Linked DNA regions of Oryzias latipes. The protein of the gene in region 2 purifies or fractionates together with the protein of the main gene of each other region. This does not show direct contact. Links are inferred from orthologs where the notes say so. Each region holds a gene or a part of one and is shown on either strand. Other genes may lie near its edges.

Region 1 (10,098 bases), on a different chromosome or scaffold from region 2:
GACCAAATAAAGACTAATGGTTGTTTGTAATGTTTAAATATTTGGCTTTAAGTCTCATATGCTGATTCCATGAACTTTAGTTGTGTTGACTTCAAGTGCATCATAAACAATAAATTATGTTATAAAGTAACTTAAAAAAATAAATCACCCAATCCTTTTGACTAACATCTACATCTGACAGTAATAATGATGATGAACCTCCAGCAACTTGTTGCTTTGTGTTTCTAACCCTTCCTCCTTCCTTAACCCCCCTTTTTTTCTTCTCTTTCTTTTGTAGCCCCCCTCCCTCTGATATCCCCCTAGCCCTTTTCTACCCCCCTCCCTCCCCCCAATCCGGTCCTTCAAGAAATGCATACCAACATAATTAATATAAATGAAGTTTAGCCTTAAATCCAAAAGGGGTTTATACTCCTCATGTGTCTGAAGAATAATGTAATAATTGTAGATGTGCTGAAAGAAAACTGAGCTAATGTACCGCAGCCATTAGTCTTATTAGGCTACAAACTAAGAAGTAAAAAAGTAAGGATGGTTCACAAATAAAAACTAAGTGCAATAATTTGTAGATCACACCTTTTCTGCAAACAAAAAATAAAAAGCTAGAATGAAACATTTTAGAGGCTCATGTAATAAATACTGCATATTCATTTTAAACTAAAAAAAAAGTCACATCAAAATGTTTAGGTTTAAGCAACAAAAGGCTGCAGAATTTCATGAGATGAAGACGGCTTATTAAAAAGTAAATACAGAAGTGCTTCAGATTAGCTGGGACCAAAAATGTTTTGAGGTCAATTAGAAAACTGCAAACTGGTACTAAGATCAAACAAATCCAGTTTAAAATACAGGCTGGCCCTTTCACTCTGTACTAAAACTAGAGCCAAGTCAGTTCACCAAATTACCACTGGGTGGTTTGTGACAAAAAAAAGAAAATCTGCATTAACGACAGTGTGAAATGAGACAGCTTCTCCAAAACATTTAAAAGTTCAACTGTGTCTCCAAAAGCTTGTTTACTTGGTGAACAGTTCTGGCAATAATTTTTCCTGAACTTCTTTTTTGGGATCAAAATGCTGTTAAATGGTTTCGTCATGGACAGGTGAGTTGAGTGCTGTTAAATTGGGCATTTCCAACTGCATGAAAGGTGTTTTTCTTTTGATCTATTTGACAAAGTCAGAAAAGGTAATTTTTTAGGGATCTATCATCTTATCTCAGAAAAAACTGTTTTGAATGAGCCTAAAAATCTCCTAGGTTATGTCACCACAGGGAAACAAGCACAAGTCTGAAATGACCTTTTGGGCCTGCTCTCATCAAGCCGCCTGGCCGGTCAGACGGCGGTCGCAATTGAAAAGATCGGATACGTTTCGGAATCAGGACGGCATACCCAAGTGGCCTGGGTCGCAATTGAAAAGATCGGATCTGTGTCGTTCAGACTGTCTTGAAAAGATCGGAATTGTGTTGCATAGGGGCAAAAAAATTGGAATTGGGTCGTTTCAGCCTGCAGTGTGAACGTAGCCCCAGATCTTCGCTGACAATATTCCACATTCTTCTAACCAATATATACTCCACCTGTTACAAAAGGGCTTTGGTTTAACTGTTAAGATTTTTAACCACATAAAAACATGTTTACAAACTTGTTTGGAGCTGGCTGGCAGGGCGTTTTTTTTTTCATGTTATGAAGCTGGGCCAAACCGAGTGGTGCTTCATCTAATAAAATAAACTGTGAGAAAATGTAAATTTATTTATAAACACATCACTGATACCTTCCAGTCTTTGGGGTCGAGCGTTCGCAGCATGGGATGCTCCTCCAGCAGAAGCTCCTCATCTTCCGACTCCTCTGAAGACTCCTCTTCATCCTCCAACTCCTGGAAGGAAGCCGACACATTCCTGTTTCTTCTCCTTAGATACGCTTCAAACCATCGACCCACCGGCTCCACCTGAACAAGGACAGAAGCTGTGGGTCGAAAGACAGCTGTTAATGCTCCGCATCACATGAGTGAAAACTGCTTTTTTTTTTTTAAATAATTTCCAGCCTACAGAAAAACCACACATTGTATAAGAGAAGTGAGCACCCCCCCCTCCCCCCCGGCTTGCTCTGGGGGTGGGTGGTGTGGGGCCTGGGGGGGTCGGCGCTTCGGGGAATGGGACCCCGGGGCTGTTTGACTACCAGCGGACAGTCTACTAGCTCTCCCCGACTTATCCTACACACCTTTTACCCCTCAAACTATACACTCCAACACACACACATACATGCACACACACCCTCACAAACACACACACATACATTTCACAAGGAAGGTGGGACCTTGGACTATCTGACCCCTACCCCATCCCTGGAGGGGGGTACGAGGCCCTCAGTGACGGCAGCCGTGTCCCTTGGGTGCTGGCTTCCTGGGCCCGGCAACCCTCTCTCCACGCAGGGAGAGGGATCCCTGAGTTCTCTGGCAAGACCTAAAGCCGGGGATCGCAAAAATTCCAACTGCAGGTGAGCCTGGTCGGGCCATGTTTACAACACTCCTTGTGGACCCCCACTTCTCTAGGGCGTCCAACCGTGGGCGAGGTGGATGGCTGCCTGGAGCGTGGGCCGGGTCTTCCTTGGCGGACCCTGGCTCGTCCCTGGGGTTGGGGCAGGGGGAACTCCTGGGTGGTGGTGGGGTGCTCGTCTGGGGCAGTCTCTTCTGGTTGGGCTGGAGCTTGCACTCTCTGTCCCCTCATGCCTCCCTGCTCTTGGGCTTTGGGGAGGGGACCCCTGTGGCAGGAGCCTTGGTGTGGGAATTGTTGGGCATTCCCCCTTCTTTTTACATTGCATTATCCACTTTAGATGAACATAAACACTCACTCGAGCACAGGTGTTAGCTCATTTTTGCACAAATAGTTTGCGTGATTAAATGAATATTTCACACTAGGTGGTTTGTACTGTGTACATGTTGACATGTGGACATTTTTGGAGCCAGCAGATATGTTTATAACAATTGGGTGTGGACAGGCCCCGGCCCTTCTAGATTTGTATTATATTTGAACCTGACCATAATGATTATCACAATCCAGCAAGTAGTTGCTCTATGCTGTTTCATGACCCCCCCACCCCCACCCCCCAACATCCTTCTCCCTTCCTCCCTCCTTTTCTTTTCCATCCGGTCCAACACAAATTAAAAATGTTTTTTAAAATATGATTGAAATGAATAAGGTTTGGCCTAGATCACAATAGGGGACATACCTCTAGTTTGTCAAAAGATTTATAACCATTGTTGTTAAAATAAAATATGTCCCACACAAGGGGTATTCGGAAAAAAATTTCTGCTGGATTTGTACCTAGCTTTTTGATGGACAGACATAAAACTAATGAAGTACTCCCATAAAATGCTTCTCCTAATCCTTGTTCATGTGATTGCATCACTTTTTTGTGATATGGTACCACCTAGTTTTCTCTGTTCTCACCTGAATCCCATTGATGTCAGATCTGTTTTTCTACATTTCATGTTGACAAATGGTCAAGATTTTGGCTATACCATTCTTTCATTCATCTTCTGAACCCGTTTTGTCCCTTACGGTGTCACGTGGCTGCCGGAACCTATCCCAGCCACTCGTGGGCGAGGGCAGGGGACATCCTGGAAAGTTTGCCCGTCTGTCGCAGGGCCACAAATCACGCACCCATGCACATTCCTACCTAAGGACAATTTAGAGTCCCTTGCCTCAATTAACCTATCAACCATGTTTTGGACGGTCGGAGGAAGCCAGGGTCTCCGGAGAAAACCCATGCATGCATGGGGAAAACATGCAAACTCAACACAGAAAGGTCCCCATTGATGTTCTGTTTCAGGACATGAAAATTCATGCTGTGAGGAAAGAGCCCCAACCACTACACCACCATGCAATTTTTATAGTAATTTAGTGATCCTGCATAACAAAGATTAGAATGTAATCAAACACTACATCATCAGTCCTTCAAAAAAGTGCACTAATGCCTCTTTTTACTGGAGATTAATCTCTAACTTCAAACTTATTATTTTCCCAAAAAGTTAGTTGTAAAATATTTCAATTCGATTGTGACAACAAGGTCAAAAAAGTTATTCTGATTACAGTATCAAGTCCAACTGTGGTTCATTAGTGAAAAGTGTTATTCCAGAATCAGTAAGGTTTGCTAATATTATTACAGCTAATATGGTCACAGCAGTCTGGTTTACAGAGGATGTACTTTACATAATAAGCATTTTAATACCATATGGGACTTTACCATTTTAGAATTTGTAATTTTTTAAAAATCATTTAAATTTTTGGGTTAGCTAAAAATGTGTTACTTCAGAGGAGAATGGAAACTTGGATTAGGAATTCTACCCTTACCCCTTCAATGTTTAGAGCCCGTGAATTTGTGTGGCACTGTCAGATCATGCCACCAACAAGTCATCTAAATAATAATCCCAACGTTATAACTCACAACGTTTAAGAATTTAAACATTTGTTTGATTTCTTAAGCTTTTTTGAACAACTGCGTAAGAGTAGGTCCATAAAGACCGATATGATATTAGCTGCGACCCGGCGGCCTCCACTACTTACCGGCAACCGCCTTTAGCACCGCGGTCTCCTCGGTATTCTTTGCTTCTAGCAGCATCTTCATAACATAACCGTCTCAAACATACACTTCCCAGCGTTGGTAAAGTAGTCCGAAGTGCTAAAGTTTAAGGGTCGCTCATTGACGGACCACATGGGCCTCCTCCCGGTGTGCACGCAAATCGAAGGAGCTCAGTGACTTCTGAGTCGCTATTATAGTTCCGCCTTTTTGGTTCCGCCACAACTTCTTTGAGTAGCCCCTTTTTTCATACATACATACAAATAATAACGTTATATAGCGGAATTATTTTTTAGCAGTATATACATTGATCGAAACACCGAGGACTTTTTGAGAAAACTGTTTTTAGAGAGAGTGTCCCATCAATTCGAGTCCCTTCTGGACTTCCGGGTAGCGGCGGAAGTGTAAAGTTGCTGTGTAATCGCTCGGTCTGGCAGTAGAAATAGCCCAGCATACGTGACAAAAGCGTTCGTTTGTATCAACTTTAAACATGCCTGATTATTTGGGAGAAGATCAACGGAAAACCAAGGAAGAAGAAAAAGATGACGCACCCATTCGAGGTTTATACAAAACCAATATTATAATCTCAACAACAATACTGTCGGATGTCATGTCGACAAACAAGCTAATTGTCTCTTAGCTCTCGTTTTTTCCTCTATTTTAAAACAACGCAATAGTTTTAGGTTGTTCCAATGATGGCCCATTTTTTATTTTTAATCAAAAACAATGTGTTTATAGTGAACAGATAAAAATGTTTCTTATTTTTAACATGATGACCAGTGTTGTAGCAATCAATGCTAACTGCCGGCTGAAATAGCGAAGTCATATTCCTGTTTTTTATTTTTTTCTGGTAGCTTTGGATGAAGGCGACATCGCACTGCTCAAAACATACGTAAGTTTTTCTCAAAGTGGTCAAATTTCAGAGTTGTTTTTTTTTTTCTTTCTTAAATTATTTTATTTTAATTTTATTCATTTATTTTTAGTTTTATTCTAAACGTCAAATATTGACCAAAGTTTGTCGTGGCTTTGCCAGGGTCAAAGCACCTACTCCAGACAGATCAAACAGGTAGAGGATGACATTCAGCAGCTTCTCAAGAAGATCAACGAGCTTACAGGTGGGTGAACATGGAACCTGGTCATTCCCAGGTGTTTTACCAAATATTGAAATATCTTTATTGTCATTGTACATGTTCAACAAAATTACAGTGCAATTTTTCAGTAGAATAAAAAGGGCATAATAAATAAAAAGGTATTTAGGACAGGAAATAAACTACATCGATTTCATTAGATATACCCAGTGATTACATTTGATTTATTTTATGATCCAGTTAAGATATATCCTCTTCTTCTTTTCCTTTCGACCACAGCCAACCAACTTCCTCTGTCCATCCCTGTCTTCTGCATCCTCTCCTCTAACACCAGCTACATTCATGTCTTCCTTCCCTGCATCCTGAAACCCTCTCTTTGATCTTCTTCTTAACCTTTTGCCTGTCATCTCTAGACTCAGGATCCTTCTCCCAACAAATTCACTGTCTCTCCTCTGGACATGTCCCAATCATCTCAGTCTGACCTCTCTGACTTAAACTCCAAAACATCTAACATGTGCTGTTAATTACACAGGGCCTTATCTGTGTATAATTAATATTTGTTAATGGTTTAATTAATCATTGTAATTTTTAAATGAACATTTATTTCGTTCTTTATTTGTGAACATCATTTTGTTTATTTATTTGTTGTGTTTATTGTACTTTAAAGTCTCATTTAATAAAAAACAACAGTAGATACAGGTTTCCACCAGTCCTAGACAAAAAATGGACTTTGTCAACTTTATACCAACAATAATATTAAAACACATTAAACAAGTTTAATAGACGCACAAAATGTTCAACTAGTAGTTAAGATAAAAATGATAGAATATTTAGAGGAATAAAATAAGAAAGAGAACGATCTCTCAATAAAAACATTGTATGATATTTGCAACATAACATGCAGTTTATTTGTGATTTTGAATTTGTCAGGCATCAAAGAGTCTGACACAGGCTTGGCTCCACCGGCACTTTGGGATCTGGCTGCTGACAAACAGACTCTGCAGAGTGAGCAGCCTTTACAAGTGGCAAGGTAAAACAGCCTGCCTTTTTAGTTTTAAAGACCCTGTGTCACTTTTTTTAAAATTTCATTTAGTCTTTCTTCCTCTTCTAAAAATCTTTATGATAAATGTGTTTTAGATGCACTAAGATCATCAACGCAGACTCTGAAGACCCTAAATATATCATCAATGTCAAACAGTTTGCTAAGTTTGTGGTGGATTTGAGTGATCAGGTGGCTCCAACTGACATTGAGGAAGGCATGAGAGTTGGGTGAGTCTCATATGATCATGACATGTCAATCACAAGCCGATTTATATGTCTCTAGCACACATTTGTACTTGTTGTTGCAGGGTTGACAGGAACAAGTATCAGATCCATATTCCTTTACCTCCCAAGATTGACCCCACTGTAACTATGATGCAGGTACGCAGTGGCAGAGTTTGGATAAAAACATGTGTGCGCTTGATTGTTGTTTTATTCATGTTCCCAGAGTGGCTGAACAGAAATGCATGCAAAACATGGAACAAAATGCAAAGAACATTGGGCCATATTATACATATTTTTCTAAATATTTTGATGAACTTGTTCCCAACACTCCTCTGGAAAAATTAACATCATATTCAAAATTCATGACCTGTTCTTTAGTAGAGGAAAAAGTTCTTAGGTCAAAGCCATAAAGTGCATAAACACCAGAGTTGGACACACCCTCATGTGACCTATCCTTTTTGTTATGGCAAATTAGAAGCCAGTTAGCTATCTTTTTTTAAACACATTTGCCACTTGTTGCAGCTATCGTAAAGCTAACAGTTGGACTAGTTAAATTTACATATGAGAATTATATCAATAAAATATGAATCACTAGATGTTCAATCTAGCCACCGGAGTGACAAAAATGGTTTGATCCAAAATGTAATTTATTTTTGTTGTCAAGGTGGTTTGTTTCATAAATAAGATAGACTTGATATATAGGTACATTCTAAGCTCTTCTTATTTGTAAAGATTTTGTCCTTGTCAAAACGAATCAAAATAAAAAGTGTGAAAGAAATTCCAAAAGCCTAAAAAAAAGTGATTTAAAAGTGTTTTGTTGGTAAACAAGGCTAGTCTTCAGATAAAAGTGTACAGATTCATGGTTTTTCTTAAAGATCAAAGCAAAATGACTCATTTCTTAGTTTGTGCTAACTCTGTGGTGCAGGTGGAAGAGAAGCCTGATGTAACCTACAGTGATGTTGGTGGCTGCAAGGAGCAGATTGAGAAGCTGAGAGAAGTGGTTGAAACTCCACTGCTCCATGTGAGTTTTCAGCATCCAGATCACCTGCACTGTTTGGGGAAAATGAACACAGCTTCAGTCCTTTGTTCTCTCTTTTTTTTTTCATCAGCCTGAAAGGTTTGTCAGCCTGGGCATCGAGCCTCCTAAAGGTGTGCTTCTGTTCGGGCCACCTGGCACGGGGAAGACCCTGTGTGCCCGAGCCGTGGCCAACAGAACTGATGCCTGCTTCATTCGAGTCATCGGTTCTGAGTTGGTTCAAAAATATGTGGGAGAGGTGAGCTCGCTTGTGACGAAAGAGTATATTTTGCTTCCATCAACGTTCACGCCGTGTCGTCTGTAACCGCAGGGAGCCAGGATGGTTCGGGAGCTGTTTGAGATGGCAAGAACCAAAAAAGCTTGCCTGATCTTTTTTGATGAGATTGATGCCATTGGAGGTGAGATTGATGCGTTTATGACCTCACTGAGAGGCCTCATGCCATGTAGTCATGTGGTCGATGGTTCACGCTTCTTAAGGATGCTGATTGGTTAAAACCTTTACTTGAGCACAGATGGAGAAACGTGACATGTTTTGTTTGACGGCACATGTTTAAACTTCAAGGAAATGAAACAAAATGTATATATTTTAACATGTTTACCCTGTGTGTTAACCAGCTGATGTAATGCAATGTTGTAGCTAAAAGGAAATGTTATGTGCAGAAATGCAGTGTCCAGAAAATTTCATTCAAAGGAAACATTTTAAAAAGGATCCACATTATTCAGGGTTTGAAAATAAGATTTTTTTATCAAAATAGTAGTCCTTCCCAAATTTCTTTTTTGTTTCATGTTTTATTGCTCAATTGATCAAAAACTTTTTTATAGATCCATAATTTTACTGTATTTATGTCCAAAAACAACCACATTCCTCAGAGTGAGAAATCTTTCTGGAAGAACAGAATCTTTCAAATTACCTAAAGTGTTGTTTACCAAACTAGATGTTATTTTAGAAACATTGCTTCTGTGCAGGTCAGAGGTGAAGGAAGTTTTTGTCATCAGTCGTCCTGAAAGGAGAAGAGCTTTGTTTCTTACTGGCCTTTTAGCAAAAAAAGAAAATATGAAATCTTTCTCCCAGGTGCTCGTTTTGATGATGGGGCTGGGGGGGACAATGAGGTCCAGAGGACCATGCTTGAGCTTATCAACCAGCTGGATGGTTTCGACCCACGAGGCAACATCAAAGTGCTCATGGCCACCAATAGACCGGACACTTTGGACCCGGCTCTGATGAGACCTGGGCGCCTGGATAGGAAGATCGAGTTCAGCCTTCCTGACCTGGAAGTGAGTTTTCCTTACAGGGATACTCAGAAAAGTTGTTGGTAAAGTGTAATCACGGTCTGTTTTGTGCATCTTTTAGGGTCGCACTCATATTTTCAAGATCCACGCCCGCTCCATGAGTGTGGAAAGAGACATCCGCTTTGAGCTTCTGGCCCGTCTGTGCCCCAACAGCACTGGTAAGACCAAAGCTCCTTTACCTTCATTGTTCCCCACTTACTCATGGCTGTTTCTGTTGTAGGTTATAAACATAAAAAAGTTTTTTTTTTCTACTTTGTTCACCAAAGCTGAATTGTGGTCACAAGATTACAGTGTATTCAACACAATAGGCCTGTGTTGTTGGGAAAACTACTTTAAAAAGCAAATAACATTCTCTGTTTAAAACAATCTTTTCAATCAGGTGCTGAGATCCGCAGTGTGTGCACAGAGGCCGGCATGTTTGCCATCAGAGCTCGCAGGAAGATCGCTACAGAGAAGGACTTCCTGGAGGCTGTAAACAAGGTCATCAAATCCTACGCAAAGTTCAGCGCCACCCCCAGATACATGACATACAACTGAGGACTCCTGGTCTACTGCTAAAGAAACAGTCAATGCTTTTGTTGTCACCGAAAAATAAAGTTTATTCCACATTTAGATCTGAGTTCCTGAATAACATTTTCTCAAAAGGCATCTTGTGTTCTCCAGCAGCATTTTTAACAAAACTAAAATTAGTTTTTCAGACAAATGTTTTGACAAAAATAAAGTTTCACTTCATGTAACCAAGATTACAAACAGAGCTGTTTTAATTGTCCAGCCTCAGAACACCACTGCATAGAACCTAGATGAAGACATAATTGACCATAGCAATGAGCAGATACATTTCTTCCAGGAATGGCTCTTTC
Region 2 (10,098 bases):
TACCAACCTGGAACCAAACCTTAGAATTTCACAATAATGGCCTCTTGACCCAAATCAGAAACCGCCGTCCTTTGAACGCCGAGCGTGGGACTGTGCGACCACGTGAACCACGTGAACCACGTGAACCGGATGAGGTCATTTGAGGAAGACCGTGCTCGAAGTGCCTTAAAGCGCAACTCTACTGGTGATCGTTATGCTGTTCAAATGTAATCAGTTTGAGAGAAAATTCTAAGGAAAAACCTTCAAATTTTACCCTAAAACTCGATTTGAACTCACTTGAATTAGATTTTGTGCTTTTCATATTTGGGTATCAGCACAAAGAAACAACTTTAGTGTCATAATTGAGTGTTTAGAAGAATTTGTGGTTTGTCTTCCGAGTCGTAAATGGTAGTGATCATCACTTTGCTCCTCCATCTATAAAGCTGGCGTAGACCTTCTACGTGTATTTTGTTTTTGTGTCAAGAAGGCCACGCGTGAAATTTCTGGATGCGTTTTGAGCCATGTTGGCTTTTGGGATCTTTTGCCATTTTTCATAAACTCACCTCCAAGGTTCCTGCTCTGTTTTGTCCACTAAAGAGACGGGTGTCAACAGATCAGAAGGTTGCTAAATTCTCCAAAAAAACTAAATCCAAACAAAAAAAACAACATTTCTCATTGTGTGTTGACAAATCCGTCTGTTTACAGTTCTTTTTTTGGGTTCTCTTCTAGGAGATGTTGACAAAAGGCAGAGATTGTATTTGTTGGGAATTGCTGCTCGAATGCCCTAAAGCCTTATGAGAGATGAAGTCAAACTTGAGTCCAGTTCCAGAAACACAGACGTCTATTTAAAAAAGCTGAAACAAACCGGCCAAAAGCCTGAAAATAACACGTTAAAACTCATGCGGAAGTTGTACTTGGTAGCAAAATTTCAACCAAGCCTGCTGCGTTTGCTGCTTCTTCTCTGTGGACGGTAAAAATCTGGGTCTGGACGGTTAGAATTGGAGCAGAACCCGGGTGGACTTCATGTCTGCAGCCATGTATAGAAACAAACTACTCGTTTAGTGTTTGAACTGTGCTGTTTCAGAAAGGATTCTTTAACCCTGGTTTCCTTTAGGTGTTCTCAGTTTTTGAAAGGAAAAAAAACAACTTCTCCTTAAGGGGGGGGATTAAGGGATTTAAGCCCCTGTCCAACATTATTACACTGTTGTACAATGTCTGGTTTTGAAGAAAAATGTCCTCCTTTCGTACTGTAATGAGAGCGGTAACCGAAGAGGCGCGCACGCCTTCACCTCCCTCCAGTTGAACTTGCTTTCTCCTCCTCTGGGCTTGGCCTAAATCCTCGGCCAGCCTCTATTCTGACACTCCACTGTCCATCCGGGGGGGGATTGCAGCTCTCACACTCCAGGTGAACCCCGCCTCGTCGCTCTCACTCCACCCCAGCGGTCGGTGGAGACGACGTCCGCTCCTGGAGACGCCGCAGGAGCGTGTGACCTCAACGCTTTGTGTTTGGCGGGCCCGGCTCGTCTTGTCTTGAGAGTGAACCGTAGTTGTAGAAATAAGCTCCGTGAGGCAGCTCGTCACCCAAATCCAACGGGAAGCAGGAGACCGCTTGGGACAATCTGGGTGCAAAGCTGTCGAGCCAACACCGTTTGTTGTTGTGTGGTTATTTGAATGGAAAAATGACTCTGAATCCCCTCACTGTGTGCAGCCTCTGGGCTGTAAATCTTCCCAGTTTACCCAAAGTGAAGCCCCTGCTGAAAACACTGGATACTTGTATATATGTTTAGTTGGTTTCTGATGCATTTCTCCTTTCAGACTGTTGTCTCCATAGTTGGAAACTAGGATTTCTCCTTCTTGCCTTTTTTCCCATATAAATCTGATGGTGGGTTGTGATGTTGCCTAGAATGATTGTTTACAATTTTATTCCATTTATCTCTGGATATTCTGTAAATATTGTAATTCATTGTCTTTTTTTAACTTGATAATAAAGTTATCAGATAACAGAGTATTGGGTCCTTATCTGCACAAATGTTTGTGTAGCTTTTCTAATGTCATTCATTCATTTTCTTAACCGTTTTATCCCTTTCGGGGTCACGGGGCTGCCGGAGCCTATCCCGGCCACTTGTGGGCAAAGGCAGGGGGGACACCCTGAACAAGTCGCCAGTTTGTTGCAGGGTAGAATGTCCTCACTCACACACACACCCATTCACTCCCGCACTCACACCTATGGTCAATTTAGAGTTGCCAATTAACCTATGAAGCATGTTTTTGGATGGTGGGAGGAAGCCGGAGACCCCGGAGAGAACCCACGCATGCACGGGGAGAACATGCAAACTCCACACAGAAAGGTCCCCCACTGATGTTCTGTTTTTCATGTCCCCCAGCCGGGACTTGAACCGGGGGCCTTCTTGCTGTGAGGCAAGAGCGCTAACCACTGCGCCACCGTGCAACCGCTTTTCTAATGTAAACATCAAACTATTGTATATTTGAGTAAAAGAATAGACTAATTGTGAGATAGACTAAAGAATCATCGGATTTGGACTTATTAAAAATTAACAGGTGCATTTTTTTCATATCTTTTAGCGTTTTCTCAAACTGCAAAAAGAGCAAAACTCCCAAACAAATTGTATATCTGATCATTTTTACAGACAGCAGGTCACCAAAGTTCTGCAAAGAAAGAATATCATAAAGTTAAATATTAAAGAAATACGGAAAAAACTATTTAAATATATATATATATATATATATATATATATATATATATATATATATATATATATATATATATATATATATATATATATATATATATATATATATTGATATTGATGTCCACTGTGGTGATAAGAATATTTAACACATTAGAAAAAACTCTTGGGTTAAAAAAAAAAGCTTTTATTTTATTTTAAAATCCTATTCTTTGACCAAAGCAATTATAAATCCACTTATTGATTTTCTGCCATTTTTAAAAATCCCCTGAGGAAAACCTCTTTTCCAATCCCAAGCTAACTTTAACGGTAACAAAAATGTGGGAGCTTTCCAGATGTACAATTTTGTTCCAGATGCCAGCTCAGACGAGGAAATCCATGGATCTGTGTATCTGGAAGTGGATGCTTGTGTCCACTGTAGCTCCTGCGTCGCTGCTACAGGATTTTTCCAACGGCATTTTTTCCTCTGATCCTGAATCCCAACGATTTGAATAAAGATATACTTTGAGCTCTTTTTTTTCTTTATATATGTACTCAATCCTTAAAAAAATTCCACAAAACATGTTAAAAATGCCTATTTCATTGGAGAGGGTCTTTAATAAGATTTTAGTTGCCCTTTGAGTAACCCTCAGCTGCCCCTTAGGGTTTTTCTTGAGAGAATCTGCTGACTCATGTTAGTGTCTGCCTTCAGACACTGTCATATGCCAGCAATGATTGCATAAAGTCATAATCCTGGTGTTTTCGGATGAAGATCAGGGACATTTTGGACCTTGTAGATGCAGAGCTGAGATGATGCTCTGTCACAAGTTTTCACAGAATGAATTCCTGCACAAGTGACTGCAGAGCATCTGTTCAAATCGGTAACAGTCTCTGCACCTTCTTGTTAGCAGGAAATAGCTTTGAGCTGAGAAGGCACCCCTGTGACCTTCACTGTCTGCTACACCCCTCCGTTTTCTCTGCACTCCACTCCAAACCCTGCAGAAGCTCTGCTGACCAGAAATCGCAGCTCCTTTCACACAAACCCGCAGCCTCATCAGCCAGTCTTCAACGACTGCCGGCTTTTCCAAAAGCCTCCATCCTCCACACTTCCTCTGCTGTCGTCTTTAGCTGTGCTCAGTCTTTATTTCACTTGTCTAACATCATCTCTTAAAAATATCTCCAAGTCACCAGGGATCAGATTGTAATCTCTGCGGCTCACTGCATCAGAGGGGGCCGGTGGCATGCTGACGACGCCTGGAGACAGAAGCGAGAGGCGCAGTCACGGTGACGAGGGAGGGGAGAGGAGGACAGCGCCGCTCCAGAGGGGAGCTACGTGAGGAATGTCTGATGAGAGCCCGGGCCAAGGCCGGTGTGGGCAAAGCTGCTCTAAAGATGAGGGGATGGAGCGAGAGCCAAAGATGAAAGAGGGGGTGCAGAGAAGGAAGCAAAATGTCTTTCTGAAGGCCTCAATGAGTCAAAGCAGCAAAGATCTGGCTGTTTGATGCAACCCTTCAACAGAATTTCTTGTTGTCTTAAAGTAAAAAAAAAAAGATTTCTACTCAGGCACAACATCAAAACCACCTTCCTGATTTGGAGCTCCTCTCATGTTACAAAAATAGCTCAGACTTATTGGGCCGTAGACGAGACTTCTCAAGGTTTCTCCTGGCGTCACGCTCCTCGACAAGAGCTGCAGATCCTGTGGGTGGTGGTAGTGGGTGGGTGGGGGGATCCAGGCCTCCATCACACTCCTGTGTCTTAGCCTCCCATGGAGGCTCACGAATAACGTAGACAACACCTGTAACCCTTGTGCTATCCTAGGCACTTTACTATTGGGAGTTGGGTCATCTAGACCCACTAGACAGTGCTCTGAACCTTTTTTCTTCAGTGATTTGTGATCTTCACTGGTGTCCATGGATTACATGAAATCTTTCCACCTTTATCCACCTTTGTCATGGTAGGGAGAACACGTCAATGTAAGGGTGGGGTCATCTAAGATAGCACAAGGGTTAAATCTCACAGTGTGATGATAAGCACCATAACTTTATGATCCACCAAATGTTTCCTAAACATTTGTTTACAACACTGTGGGTTGCGTTTAGGGGCGTATAGATTAATCGGCTTAAGCCATGAATCAATTTTTATTCCCACGACCTACCAGATCAATCGGTTTGAGCCAAGTTGTTATTCAAATTATAGAATCATTTTAAAAATAACTAAATTGATTATTTCGATATTTGCAAATACCATTTGGATTGAGGCACGGTAGGTTTCCAAGAGGAAACCTGTGTATGCACAGGGAGAACATACAAAATCCACACAGCAAGGTTCCAGCAGGGATTTGAACCTCTCCCAGTGGGGCAAGAGTGCTAACCACTATACAATTGTGCAGCCTACACCATTTAATACGTGAATTTAAAAAATAATTTAGTGTCAAAGTGCTAATTATTTGCTCCAATATTTGTGCTGTATATATTTTTTTTATTGTTATTGTTATGCTATTTTACTTTTTAAATCCTATTTAATTTAATTTTGTTTAAACAGCTGTGTGTTTAATGTTTAAATGACATGAAATCTGTGGTATTACTTTTCAGTATTACTTACTTATTCAGAGTGTTAGGAAAAAATAACATTCTGTTTTGATTAATTTTTATGTGAAAATGTGTATATATATTGAAAAAAACATATAGAATATAATGAAGAAAAATATATATAGAATATCCTCCACAATCAAATCAATTTAACCGTGGTGGGACCAACTGATTTGGATTTATTGTCCAGCAGATTATTTGATTAAGTTCAACGTGTAGCCACCAGGGGCGCTAGTGTGTTTTTTCATGAGGGGGGGGGGTTACCCGGTTTTACCGCCACAGAAGAAGAGAACCGAAAAATCATGGCGGCTGACAGTTTGTAATGAGCCAACGGAAAAAAGCGATTTCTTTCAAGTTAGATTTACAGATTTTTTTAAAATTGGAGCCAGAAGTAAACCGACCTACAACATGCTGATAACTTTAAAGACTTTGCAACAGCAGACCTTCAAAATCGACATCGATGAGGAAGAAACGGTGAGAAATATGCGCGAGCGGGAGTTGTTTATGTGGAGCAACTAAAACAGCAGTAAATGTTTTTTTGTTTGTTTTTGTTAAAAACATATTGACTAGAGTCATTACGCTAGCAAAATAATACTCTTTTGATTTAAAATAACATACAAAAACTCAGGCAAAATGTTGTTGTCTGTGCTTAAATGTAATGACGATAGTAAAGTTGTTTCTATTTACACGCCAGCCTTCGCACTGTTCCTAAACATTTATGACAGAGATCTTTTACTCCGAACTTTTACTTTCGATAAACTTTAAGGACATGCGCGTTATTCCTCTAAATCTGTTGCTAACAGCTAAGATTCAATGGTTGATGTCTGTAGCTAGATTTTAGAGGAGGTTTCCTTCTTAACAACAGAAACTTGGACCTTATGGCTCCAGAAGTGCTGAGTCATCTCACTGTGTGTATTGTTGTTTACTGCTAGTCATTGTTGTCAGTGTTGTTGTTTCTTCTGCAGGTGAAGACGTTAAAGGAGAGGATTGAGCAGGAAAAGGGGAAGGAGAGCTTTTCAGTGGCCGGGCAGAAGCTGATCTACGCCGGTATGATGGGTCCCTCCCTGCCTCTTTCTTCCTCTGAGTACTCACGTGATGTTTAGACCGGTTCTGATCAGTTTGCATCCATAGTCCTGGCAGGTTAAGATCCGGAAAGATCTGTACTCTTTGATTTGCCTAAAAGTTTTTTTTGTATATTTCTCTGCATATTTGACACAAAATTGCTTCAGATCTTAAACTGTCGGGTCTATAAAGTCCAGAAATCTAGAATTTTCAGCCTAAAATATTTAAAAATGCATTTAATTTGATGTCATTTGTCTTAAATTATGTATTTCTTTGCTGTGTTGTTTAATAGTGACCACAAGAATGATGATACGCTGCAAACACACTTTTGTTGACACACAAGTACTTTTTGGTACATAAAGTTTCACCAAAACCCATAAAATAGTTATTTTAGGTTCTGTTCCTCAATATTTTAAATGTGTCTTAAAGCGAACTGTGCTTTTATTTTGACATGCATGTTACAGCCTCAAAGACGCTGAAAAGAAACTTTAAAAAGACTACAAATTGATTGCTGACGTTATGTAAAATGATTGATTTAAGGCGATGACGATGTCTGCTGCTTCTGTTTGTATTCTAGAAGAATAGTTTTTTTGTCAATGTGGGCAAAAAAGTGTTAAAATTCTGACTGTCGTTACAAACATAGTTTAGTTTTGACTTCAGAATAAAATAAAATCGCTAGATACCTGCACTTTATGTTTTACATCAGGGTGAAGGGATCCAACTGGATCCTATGTTAGGCTAACCCGGGTCCGGCAAATTCTATGTTCAAATCAGCTTCACCCAGGAAGCATTGAATCAAATCGAACATTATTTAGAAAGTGCTTTTCCTACAAGTGCTTTACATTAAAGAAAAACCAAATAAATAATATAAAAACAAGCACGAAAATTAAAATAGAACCCCCTCCCCAGACCTACACACAGCCCCCTCCCCCCCTAACTGATGGGGATCGACAATGGGAAACAGGCTTGCGCGTCTGTGCACATTTGGACTCCAAGTTGAGTACAGAAATCATTGTGTCACCTTTAGAGCTCACATGAGCACAAAAAAAGCACCAAAACGTAAAGCTTCCACACCAATCCTTTCCAAAAAATACAGTTTTCCCATGATTCATTGGTGAGAAGACAGATGGAGGTTAGCGAACCACTTCTGTAGCTTCTTATGCTTTTAAAAGAACTTTCTTGATTCGATTGATGCATTTGTGGCTCAGTAGTTGCTTGTTTTTCAGCCTCATTTGATCCAAATCATCAACAGAACGGGACTGGGCTTCAATTTACTGCTTTATGCCGGATTATTATGGGTTTTTTTAAGTCAATGATTGACAGATGTGTTTATGCTTTTCTGCTTTAATGGGTAGAGCGCTGCAGTTGAAGTGAATATCATGAAAAATAGGAGTCAACAAAAGATTTTGGTTGAGAATAAAGATAAATGCTTAGAAATTAACTTTTAAAAACAGATTTTGTGTAAATGACCATCATTTGTGTGACCGGCACAGATCCTCGTTTTCTAGTTTTCAGAGCGAGTAAAACCCAGACGGATGTCGTCCATCCCTCAGAAATCCTTTTCTGCTTCTTTCCAGGAAAAATCCTCAGCGACGACACGGCCCTCAAAGAATACAAAATCGATGAGAAGAACTTTGTGGTCGTCATGGTGACAAAGGTCGGTGAATTACAAACCGCTGGTGAATTGCAAGCTTGCTTGGAACCTTTATATCCCTCCGTTTTGTTCCTTTATTCGTAAGCGAATCCCTTTGGTGACTTTCTCCTCTTTTTTTTCACACCGTGTCTGAGTGTCAACCGCCTCTGCTGGTGTGCGGGGCTGCACACCTGTCTGATGCTGAGCTCCTAAAACCTCCACAAAAGCAACTTTCTTTAATTCACCCCCTAAAATATCAAAGATTGGAATAATTTCACTAAAAGCAGAGGTGGTCTTATGTCATCACACTTGTTTAGAAGTTCCTCTATGCTTTTATTTTGGCGGGTGGAATTGAAGGGGAGGAATACAATTTGGAGATTCAAACTTTTGTTTTTTAAGATCATTTTTTTGTTTTAGCTGCTGTGCTTTCATGCGGACAGATGCTAACAGATTTCAGATCTGTTAAAAGAAACAAAATTCACTTCCTGTTTTAGGATGGAGTCTCATTTAGCGGTATTGTGTGTGTGTTTTTTTGTTCCAATCGTGATTGTAACTTATAGCGAATCTCGATGCAGAGCAGCCGTTTTTTTCCTTTGCTGCTGAGGGGATGTGGGAGGGCAGCACCCACCGCTACAAAAAAAAAAGAAAAGGCGACAACTTTATTTTAGCTGCCAAAAGACAAGTTTAAATCTTTATTCTAAACACAATAATGCAAAAAGGATGGGAAGAAATTTAATATCAATAAAATGTTTGAGGCTGCACAGCAAGTTTATGAAAAACCATTAAGTTCTCATTATTATTCAGACAAAAATAAGCAAGAATGCAGATTGGTTTTATTTTGAAACTTTGTCAAGGGATAAAAGGGTTTTGTTGCTGCTTCCTAAAGCAAATGTTACATGATCTTTAAACTGTTTTTGATTAAAACAAACCCGAATTTAGGAGTTTCAAAAAGTCATCAAACATTTAAAGTACCATTTTACCTCACAAAGTTTGGGGAACATGCTTTTATTTTGTAGCCTAAAACTGCTGCGCCCAGCCCAAAGTCTTCGTCAGCCTCTTCATCAGCTCCTTCATCGGCTCCCAGCTCTGCGGCTGCTGCAGCGGCCCCCACCCCACCATCTGTTGCAGACAAACCTGCAGAAGTAGCACCTGCTGACAAGCTGGAAGAGAAAGAGTCTTCCACAGCCGAGCCGCCGCCACCGCCGCCTCCCGCCAGGTAAAAGGCGCCTCCGTGTTTGTGGTTCTCGCTCTGAGGCATCCGACCTCACCGCTGTTTGATCCTCTTTCAGGAGCTCAGAGTCTTCGACAGACCTGCTCAGCGAAGCCGTTTCCACTCTGGGTGAGCCTGCTGCGGTGTGGGCGGCGAGCTGAGAGGTGAACTGGCCGTTTAAACTGTTGGTTTGTCTTCCCAGTGACGGGTTCGTCCTACGACACCATGGTGAACGAGATGATGCTGATGGGCTATGAGAGGGAGCAGGTGGTGGCCGCTCTGAGGGCCAGCTACAACAACCCCGACAGAGCCGTGGAGTACCTGCTCTCTGTAAGACACGCCCCCAACCCTCCCACAGCCAATCCAAAGCCAGGGTGCTGTCTTCCACACGAAAAGGTGGAGTTATTGTCGGTGTCACCCCTAGGGTATCCCGGGTCAAGATCAAGGCTCCAGAACCGGACCCGATTCCACGCCTGCAGTGAGCGAATCTCCAGCTGCGCCTGCAGGGGGCACCGCCGCTCCCACCAGCACCGAGTCCTCACCGAGTGCAGGAGGGGGTACGACAACCACATTTCTTTTTTTTTCCTTTCTTTTGACGCCCTAATAAAAGCAATATTTGCTTCCACTTTCTGGACCATCAGGAAATCCTCTGGGCTTCCTCAGAAACCAGCCTCAGTTCCACGTCATGCGGCAGCTGATCCAGCAGAACGCCGCGCTGCTCCCAGCGCTCCTGCAGGAGATCGGCAGAGAGAACCCGGAGCTGCTGCAGGTGAGGAGCAGACCTCCACCAGCCCAACAACAAATCCAACAAAGCAGGCTTCCATGAACAGGAATGTTCAGGAACATCTGGCTAAGTTTAAAAACAGAAAAACAAAGCAAAGAAAAGAAACACAATGTGAAGAAAAGAAAAAAAGAAGCTATTTTAGGAGGGAAACCATC

Evidence for each region.
Region 1: the proteins of rad23b (region 2) and psmc2 purify together in Homo sapiens (affinity purification with mass spectrometry; 6 studies listed by BioGRID and IntAct, with this or other methods). This does not show direct contact. The link is inferred for Oryzias latipes from reciprocal best matches to the Homo sapiens genes RAD23B and PSMC2.

The regions. Positions count from the first base shown.
Region 1 is NC_019881.2:9,539,445-9,549,542, reverse strand, and holds psmc2 (26S proteasome regulatory subunit 7), read left to right. Parts: upstream 1-4,934; 5' UTR 4,935-5,048; coding exon 5,049-5,118; intron 5,119-5,412; coding exon 5,413-5,450; intron 5,451-5,591; coding exon 5,592-5,673; intron 5,674-6,576; coding exon 6,577-6,676; intron 6,677-6,783; coding exon 6,784-6,915; intron 6,916-6,995; coding exon 6,996-7,068; intron 7,069-7,837; coding exon 7,838-7,933; intron 7,934-8,021; coding exon 8,022-8,186; intron 8,187-8,258; coding exon 8,259-8,346; intron 8,347-9,020; coding exon 9,021-9,223; intron 9,224-9,299; coding exon 9,300-9,396; intron 9,397-9,617; coding exon 9,618-9,775; 3' UTR 9,776-9,852; downstream 9,853-10,098. Other genes in the region: dnajc2 (dnaJ homolog subfamily C member 2), read right to left, coding at 1,755-1,945, 4,546-4,606.
Region 2 is NC_019870.2:9,285,143-9,295,240, forward strand, and holds the start of rad23b (UV excision repair protein RAD23 homolog B), read left to right. Parts: upstream 1-5,517; 5' UTR 5,518-5,662; coding exon 5,663-5,728; intron 5,729-6,219; coding exon 6,220-6,301; intron 6,302-7,893; coding exon 7,894-7,973; intron 7,974-8,965; coding exon 8,966-9,165; intron 9,166-9,238; coding exon 9,239-9,288; intron 9,289-9,361; coding exon 9,362-9,489; intron 9,490-9,583; coding exon 9,584-9,716; intron 9,717-9,800; coding exon 9,801-9,928; intron 9,929-10,098. UniProt on the Homo sapiens protein: Multiubiquitin chain receptor involved in modulation of proteasomal degradation. Binds to polyubiquitin chains.